2 linked regions of the Medicago truncatula genome follow. The protein of the gene in region 1 interacts with the protein of each later gene in a pairwise test. Links are inferred from orthologs where the notes say so. Each region holds a gene or a part of one and is shown on either strand. Other genes may lie near its edges.

Region 1 (3,929 bases):
TCACTGGTATCCCCTGCAAATGTGGTGAACTTAGGGATTTTATAACCCCTAAGAAGTTCATATTGTAATATCAATTCCGACAAAGGAGAAACAAATTTTGGCCTATGCAGGCCAATATTTAAACCATTTTGAGCCATTATATTTTCGACCAAATTGGCTATATTGTTATGTACTCCTATGTTTTGTTGTTGGACATTTCTAACAACTTCATCGACATTATTATTTCTATCAACCAAGATCACTTCAGGTTGACCTTGTATTATTGGTTCGACCGGTTGGGGCTGAGGCACAAGTTGTTGCCTCTGAACCATCGGTTCAACTAACCGCAACAGTTGTTGATTTTGTATTTGTGAACCGGTTGGTAAACTGATTGCGGGGGTGCAAAGAAATATGCTATTCTCCTCATTTGTGTGGTTAAGGCTTGGTAACTCCGGTTTGTGTCCCTTATCAAAGGATTAAACACGGTACCAATTTGTTGTGTTAACGAATTAACCATTTCGTGGTTACTCTCATCCATTTGTTGTCTTAACAAATTCATCGAATCTGTTGTCAACCGTGGTAGAGTATTCCGACCGAAAATGCTAGAACTTGAGGGACTATGTACGTTGTGCATTGTGAACGTAGTAGGCTCCTCACTATTGCCTTTGCTCCTATCCTTGGAAGAAGTTTTGAAAGCAAAAGCTTTATTCTCTCCACCAGCGGGAACCTTCCGAGGCTGTGGAGGTAGGTCAGAAGTAAACTTTTCAGTGACCTTGGCACCGTGCAAAAATAAAAAAAATCTTGCGACTTGAAAAACATGATTAAAAACTTCTTTATCGTCTACAAGAAAAAAATCTTGCGACTTGAAAAACATGATTAAAAACATGATATCTAACTTTCCATATATTTTACATTTCATAAACACTTTCCAAAAATTTTAAAATTTATTTTATGAGTTTAACTCACAAAAAATAAAATTCAAATTGCAAAATATATTTTTGGAATTAAAAAACGAGTAAAATTTGAATATGTAAAAAAATAAAAATTCCAAAATTTATTTATTTTAATAATTAATTAATTAATAATAATGTTGAGATATTACAATTTACAATACAATTGTTGGGAAGAAGTGAAGTGGTTGTGGATAATGATGTTGATAACCGTAAAACAAGCTTCCCCTTCTCCCCGGTGGTGTGTTCGGCTTAATAATCGTCCTCTGATACCAAAACCATCTTCTTCTTCTTCTTCTTCTTCTATTTGCAGAGCCACTCTCTCTGTCCGGAGAATATCTACCACTCAACCTCATCTCTCTACCAGGTAAAATCAAATCTGTCTGTTTGTATATTTTTATTGATCATCCATTTTTGCCTCATTTTCAAATGGATTGTATGCAGCTGTGACGTAGCGAATTTCGACCCGTTAGGTATTAACTCTTCTTCTTCTTCTTCTTCTACATGGAAAAATATTGTGAGTTTGTTTGAGAGCTCAGAAAAACCTCGAGGAGGAGGAGTAGCAGCAGCAATAGAGGATAGTTCAATTGATTTTGGTGACTTCTTCAAAGGTCCTCTGCCAGGGAAGTTTCTTAAGCTTTTAGGGTTTCTTGCATTGTCAAGGCTTGGTGTGTATATACCTCTAGGTGGAGTTAACAGAGAGGCTTTTCTTGGAAATTTGGATCAAAATAGTTTGTTAAGCACTCTAGACTCCTTTTCTGGTGGTGGTATTGGTAGACTTGGTATATGCTCTCTTGGTATTGTTCCTTTCATCAATGCACAAATTGTTTTTCAGCTTCTTGCTCAAGTATATCCTAAGTTGCAAGATCTTCAGAAAAGAGAAGGTGAGGCTGGAAGAAAGAAAATTCTTCAGTACACTCGATATGCTTCTGTTGGATTCGCCATTGTACAGGTCAGAAATTTACATTGCAAACTTTGTTATATCGAAAAAGTGTCAATCAATGACATAAATCAAAACATCTTGTATTGAGATATTATCCCTTTCTTCACGAATTCAAATAGTCAAGTGAAAAATGTATTCTCTAGGTCACGAATAAGCCTTTGAATTAGTTATACTAGTAGTAACTTAGATGCTCTAATTTGAGGATGACTGTTTGAAAGAATGAAAACAGGGTAGGGTAACAATAAATTGATTCTTTGTTGTATTTTCTATATTACTTTGTAGAGGAGGGATATACTGATTCCAAGAGTAAGTTTTAAAGTTACTCCAAATCTTAGTCCTCGATTAATTAATGGTTGTGATCAATTACTACCGATCCCTATCATAATACTTTTTCTACTCCTATGTTAAAGCCAGGAATTTTATAGAGTCTGGGCAAAAATTAGAGTGAAGAATTCTTGTGCGCGCGCATGTGAAAATATTGAGTTTGCCCAAACAAAAAAAAGTTTTAGTGGGTTAATGGACTATTGGGTTGGTTGGGCGTAATATGAAAAAAGTAACGATTGAGCCCGGGCGAGTGCCCGAGCTCGCCGGGTGGTGGCTCCGCCCCTGGGTTGTGATCAATTACTACTGATCCCTATCATAAGACTTTTTCTATTCGTTCTTCTTAAACAACCCATGAGACTACACTGGTGAAACGAAAATCTAAAATAAATGGCCTATTCGTGCCACAATGTTGTGTGCCTTGGACAATATCATCTCAGCAAGAAGATTTTTTTTTATTGAATTTGATAAAAGAATATGCCGTTAATTGAATGTATTTTTTTTTACTTCTCTATTCACGGAGATAATTTAAACCTAATTAGAAAATTTGATATGCAAGAAATTATTGAATGATTCGTAAAGGTATCACACCGAATTATATGAGTCCTTCAAATAGCCCTTTGAGGTTGACGGCATATATGCAGGTTCATAAGTGTGGATCTCTTATTCTTTGAGGTTCATAGGTCTCAGTACCTTCATTATTTCAAAGTTTTTTGTTGAGATAATGAATGAAAAATTGTTCTTGTTGAGATAATGTTAAAAGGCATACACTATTTAGTTGAAATTTTCGTCTCACCAATGCTAGGACATTAAGGAAGAAGGAGTAGGAAAAGCTTTATGTTAGGGATTAGTAGTAATCAATCATAACCATTAATTAATTTTGAAATCAAGGGCTAAGATTTAGAGTAACTTTAAAGACTTACTCTTGGAGTCGATATATCCCTCCTCTATTTTGTAATTGCTGCGTTTAGGTTCTTCAAAAAAATAATTTACCGCATTTAGGGAAACTATTAATTGTCCTATTAATGACTCTTGGTTATATAATATCCATCAATATGTAGTTTAGACGCACAAATTCACTTGTATGCTTTCAAGATCTCATTTTTCTTGGGAAGTGTAAATGAGGGAAAACAACACTTGACTGCAGCTCGACCACTGATCGTTTTTTGAACATCCATGCTTTTTGATAGCTAGGTCCAGCACTTACATCACACTTATTACTAATTGTTGTTTTCAGTTTATAATTTTGTTTTTGTTCTTCAATTTTCATTACAGGCGATTGGCCAAGTTCTTTTCCTGCGTCCCTATGTAAATGACTTTACAACAGAGTGGGCTCTTACTTCTGTTATCTTATTGACACTTGGCTCCGTGATTACAACGTACATTGGGGAGCAAATTACTGACCTGAAACTTGGGAATGGAACCTCTCTTTTGATATTCACAAACATTATCTCTTACTTGCCAGCTTCGTTTGGTCGGACATTTGCACAAGCATTTAATGATGCCAACTATGTCGGACTTGTTACCATCATCGTGTCCTTCTTTCTGTTGGTAGTTGGAATTGTCTATGTGCAGGTAAATCTCATTTCAATTGTTAAATAATAAAGAAGTATTTGAACAAACTGAGAGATGTTGATTGCAACACTGATGATTCTCAGGAAGCAGAGAGAAAAATTCCTATTAACTACGCGTCTAGATTCACCAGCAAAAGCGGTGGACTTGAAAAATCTGCTTAC
Region 2 (3,929 bases), on another chromosome or scaffold:
AGAGATGAAACGAGAGAGGATGTTGCGTCAACACTTTATTCTTCAAGTTGTAATGCTCTGCCTTGCTTGTAGACTTGCTCCTCTATTATCCTTGCGTTTCTCTCCTTTTCCAAAGTGATAGAATGACAAACAATGTCAATGTGACTGATTCCTCTTTATTTAGTTTTTTGAAAGTGACATTTTGCTAGACGAATTGTATGCTCGGCAAGAGAATTGTGATTTTTTTACCTTGAAATCTTTAGCAGCTCATTCACATGAGTCACTAATCTGTCAGAATTCACTATGAGAATTGGAATACATCACATTGAATGGTGCCCCGTTTCAAGACTCCAATCTTAGTGACAATCGTCGGGAGTGTGCTTTCTGCTCGCCTAGCGAATTGCATGAACTCGATCTTCTTGTCCTTTTTGCTTGGATCTTTATTCATGTTTCTTTAATACTAAAAAAATGCATTTGAACAAGATCATAGTACATGAATTTCCACTCATGATCTAGCTATCTAATATTCAGACTAAATTGAAGGATTATCATCAGGTTCCTTGCATAACAAGTCAATAACTGTCATAATTTATATAGATAAAATTAAGTAATTTGAAACTTTTCAAGCATCGTGGGGCGTTTTGACCATCTTACTGATACATGTATTGTGAATAGACTATCCTCTTCGACATGCTGGCTTCTCGGCTTGCATTAACTTAGTAAAATTAATCAAAATGTTGGAGTAGATGTTGTTAGATTACACGAGTCAAGTCTTGCATACCATGTTTATTGTCGTCTTGCGTTAATCTTAGCGCACTTGTTTGTTAATATGTTGATTGTTGTTAGGATGATTGCCACTTATATTTAAGATATTTATTTCATTCAATTATATTCTTGAAATAATTAGTCACTTTGTATGTTTTTCTTATGAGTATTTGTTTAATTTTTTGTGTAGGTAATGAGATGGTGTTGCTTAAAGAGAAGATTGACGTCTTCGTGACCTTAGTTGATTTGGACAACGCATAATATAAAGAGCAGAGTGAAGACGGAGCGAAGGAGTTATCAACATTATGCCATCACAATATACTTAAATTTAATTTAGTTACGAATAAGTCAAACACTTATGCGATTGACATTTAAATTTTTATTTAGAGTAGCTCAATACAATGTGACAAACTATCTGGAGTTGTTTTCGTTGAGATTTTATTATTTTCCATAATTTGATTTATGTTATGCCACAAGTTTACAATGTAATGTTTTCTATGTATGTGAATATTTTTAAAATAAAAAATTATCTAAAATTGAAGTCATCGTTCTTTAATTGAACACCGTTTCCTTCCATTTTTTTTTTTTTTGACTAAAAATTGCAAGAGCAAATAACATTTTTTTTGACTAAAAATTGCAAGAAGCAAATAACCACCGGTAATAATATGTAATGACGTGTCACACAGTCGCTGGCTGAAAATCTTCCACTACCCATATCGTGCAGTTGTCTCTACCTCGCAAAACAAAATGCATTTCATTCGGATAATAGCAAAAAAATATCCTCTCATCTCTTTTCTCTATTCTGTGACGAGAAGCTGAAGCCTTCGCCCTTCAAGCCTCTCTCTATCACCCTTCTCATCATCCATGGCGAAGACACTGATTTCATCTCCATCATTCATCGGAACTCCACTTCCTTCACTTCACCGCAACTTCTCCCCTAACCGCACCAGACTATACACCAAAGTTCACTTCAGTTTCCACCAAATTCCTCCAATTCAATCCTTAACTCATTCTATTGATGTTGCCGGTGTCTTCGCCAGAGCTGAAGGCCTTCTTTATACGCTTGCTGATGCCGCCGTTACGGCCGATGCGGTTACTTCCACTTCCACGGATGTTACTGTGCAGAAGAACGGAGGTTGGTTTGGTTTCATCTCCGATGGTATGGAGTTTGTTCTTAAGGTAATCTTCACAACTTCTGCTTTTTAATTTTATCAATTATCTTTCTTAATATTCGTAATTTAACTAATTTTTGTTTATAATTCATTCCAAAGAAAATATATGAAATAAAATCAAACCGAACTTATGAAAATAAGTTGAAAACAGTTTGGGAGATGTAATAATTTGTTTCTATGAGATCTTCCAAACAGTCTCATAAGTGATTATACCAATAAATAAGCTCAAATAAGTCAATCCAAACATGACCTTACTATAAAAGGATTTGTTGCTCTTTGATTCATGAAACTTGTATTATTGAGGTTGTTGAGTTTTTTTAGAAGATTGAACCGTTTTTTCTTATCCTGAAATGATATGTTGCAGGGAAAGTGTTCAGTGTTACTAACTTACTGTTTACTTTTTCTGTTAATTTGATTGAACAAGTTAAACTTGTGTATTTTTTTTAGGTTATATGGAAATGTATACGTATAAATGGAAAGAGTAATGCTATTTGTTTCGAATGGTTTTCTAGTTTCAATGGACTTGGCCCTTACCCTTTTGCTTTAGAGTTATCATGTAAAATAGCCATAAAAAGGAAAAAAAATCTACCTACAAATGTTCCACGTTCCTGTAATAAAATTGGAGGATTGCATTTTATAACAGGAAATGTTTTGCTTGTTGTTACTCAGATATTAAAGGATGGTTTGTCTGCCGTGCATGTGCCTTATTCGTATGGATTTGCTATCATATTGCTCACTCTTATTGTTAAGGCGGCTACGCTTCCTTTGACAAAGCAACAGGTTAGTACAAATTACAACAATTTCTATAGGCAAATTTACTGAAACCATGAAATTATGATAACCTCGTTTGAAACATTACAAACAAACCATAAATGGATTGCCAGTTGGAAAAAAAAAAAACCATAAATGGATTTTTCTTTCAGTTATATGAAATGAAGTTCTGACTTTATTTAATACATGTAGGTTGAATCAACACTAGCTATGCAAAACCTTCAACCTAAAATTAAGGCCATTCAACAAAGATATGCTGGTAATCAGGTGAGGGGTGTTGCTGTTTGTTACTTATTAAGCATCCAATTTAATCTTAAGTAAATATTGATTTTGTACCTTAAAATGATAGCATGGTTGTTTCTAACTACTTATTTCATTGCCCTCATTTCAAGGAAAGAATACAACTTGAGACTTCAAGGCTATATACCCAAGCTGGGGTTAACCCATTGGCAGGTACACTTATATCTTACTATTGCCTTTATCATTTTCTTCTCAGCTCTGATTCTGTATAATAATGCTTTGACATGTGATAATATGATGTCAAAATATTTGCAATATCATAACTGGGCTGTACTTAATAGAAGGAAATTTTATCATTTTTTATAGGTTGTTTACCGACTTTGGCTACTATTCCCGTCTGGATTGGTCTATACCAAGCTTTATCTAATGTGGCAAATGAGGTAATTAATGGTATATAAACTATTATAATTTTAGATTTTGATAGACGAATTACAACTACATGATTTTTGCTAATTATTGAAAACTTTTAATTTGAAGGGACTGTTAACAGAAGGTTTCTTATGGATCCCTTCTCTCGGTGGTCCCACTAGCATTGCTGCTAGACAAAGTGGATCTGGAATTTCTTGGCTTTTTCCATTTGTGGTAAGTTATCCTTTGCTCATAAGCGAAATAATTTTTTTGCATTTGGCTATTTCTTTTTCCTTGTACTTGTGAGTCTGTGACACAAACACTATGATTTTCAGACATCACACTATTTACTCTTAACAATAATTTTTTTTGGAGCTTATTCCCAGTCATGGTTCCTGAAACAATAAAATTCTAAATTGTATGTCGTACAATACAATTGCTGATAAAAATTCTTTTCATAGTTAGTAATGTAGCAATTTGTGTAGGCTCTGCTTGTGAAAATATATGCAAGGTCCCTTTTTATAAGTTATGCATATGCACTATTGTCCCAGTTAGTCTTAGATTTCAGTAAATACGAGACATGGTTTATGCAGC

What was found.
Region 2: the proteins of preprotein translocase subunit SECY, chloroplastic (region 1) and inner membrane protein PPF-1, chloroplastic interact in binary tests that used the Arabidopsis thaliana proteins (3 or more experiments, as listed by UniProt). The link is inferred for Medicago truncatula from reciprocal best matches to the Arabidopsis thaliana genes SCY1 and ALB3.

The regions. Positions count from the first base shown.
Region 1 is NC_053043.1:26,124,584-26,128,512, reverse strand, and holds the start of preprotein translocase subunit SECY, chloroplastic, read left to right. Parts: upstream 1-1,088; 5' UTR 1,089-1,126; coding exon 1,127-1,296; intron 1,297-1,373; coding exon 1,374-1,881; intron 1,882-3,468; coding exon 3,469-3,768; intron 3,769-3,851; coding exon 3,852-3,929. UniProt on the Arabidopsis thaliana protein: Involved in protein export. Probably interacts with other proteins to allow the translocation of proteins across the chloroplast thylakoid membranes. Required for normal greening during embryogenesis. Central subunit of the protein translocation channel SecYE.
Region 2 is NC_053045.1:31,731,157-31,735,085, reverse strand, and holds the start of inner membrane protein PPF-1, chloroplastic, read left to right. Parts: upstream 1-1,481; 5' UTR 1,482-1,608; coding exon 1,609-1,923; intron 1,924-2,585; coding exon 2,586-2,696; intron 2,697-2,879; coding exon 2,880-2,954; intron 2,955-3,079; coding exon 3,080-3,140; intron 3,141-3,293; coding exon 3,294-3,367; intron 3,368-3,464; coding exon 3,465-3,569; intron 3,570-3,929. UniProt on the Arabidopsis thaliana protein: Required for the insertion of some light harvesting chlorophyll-binding proteins (LHCP) into the chloroplast thylakoid membrane.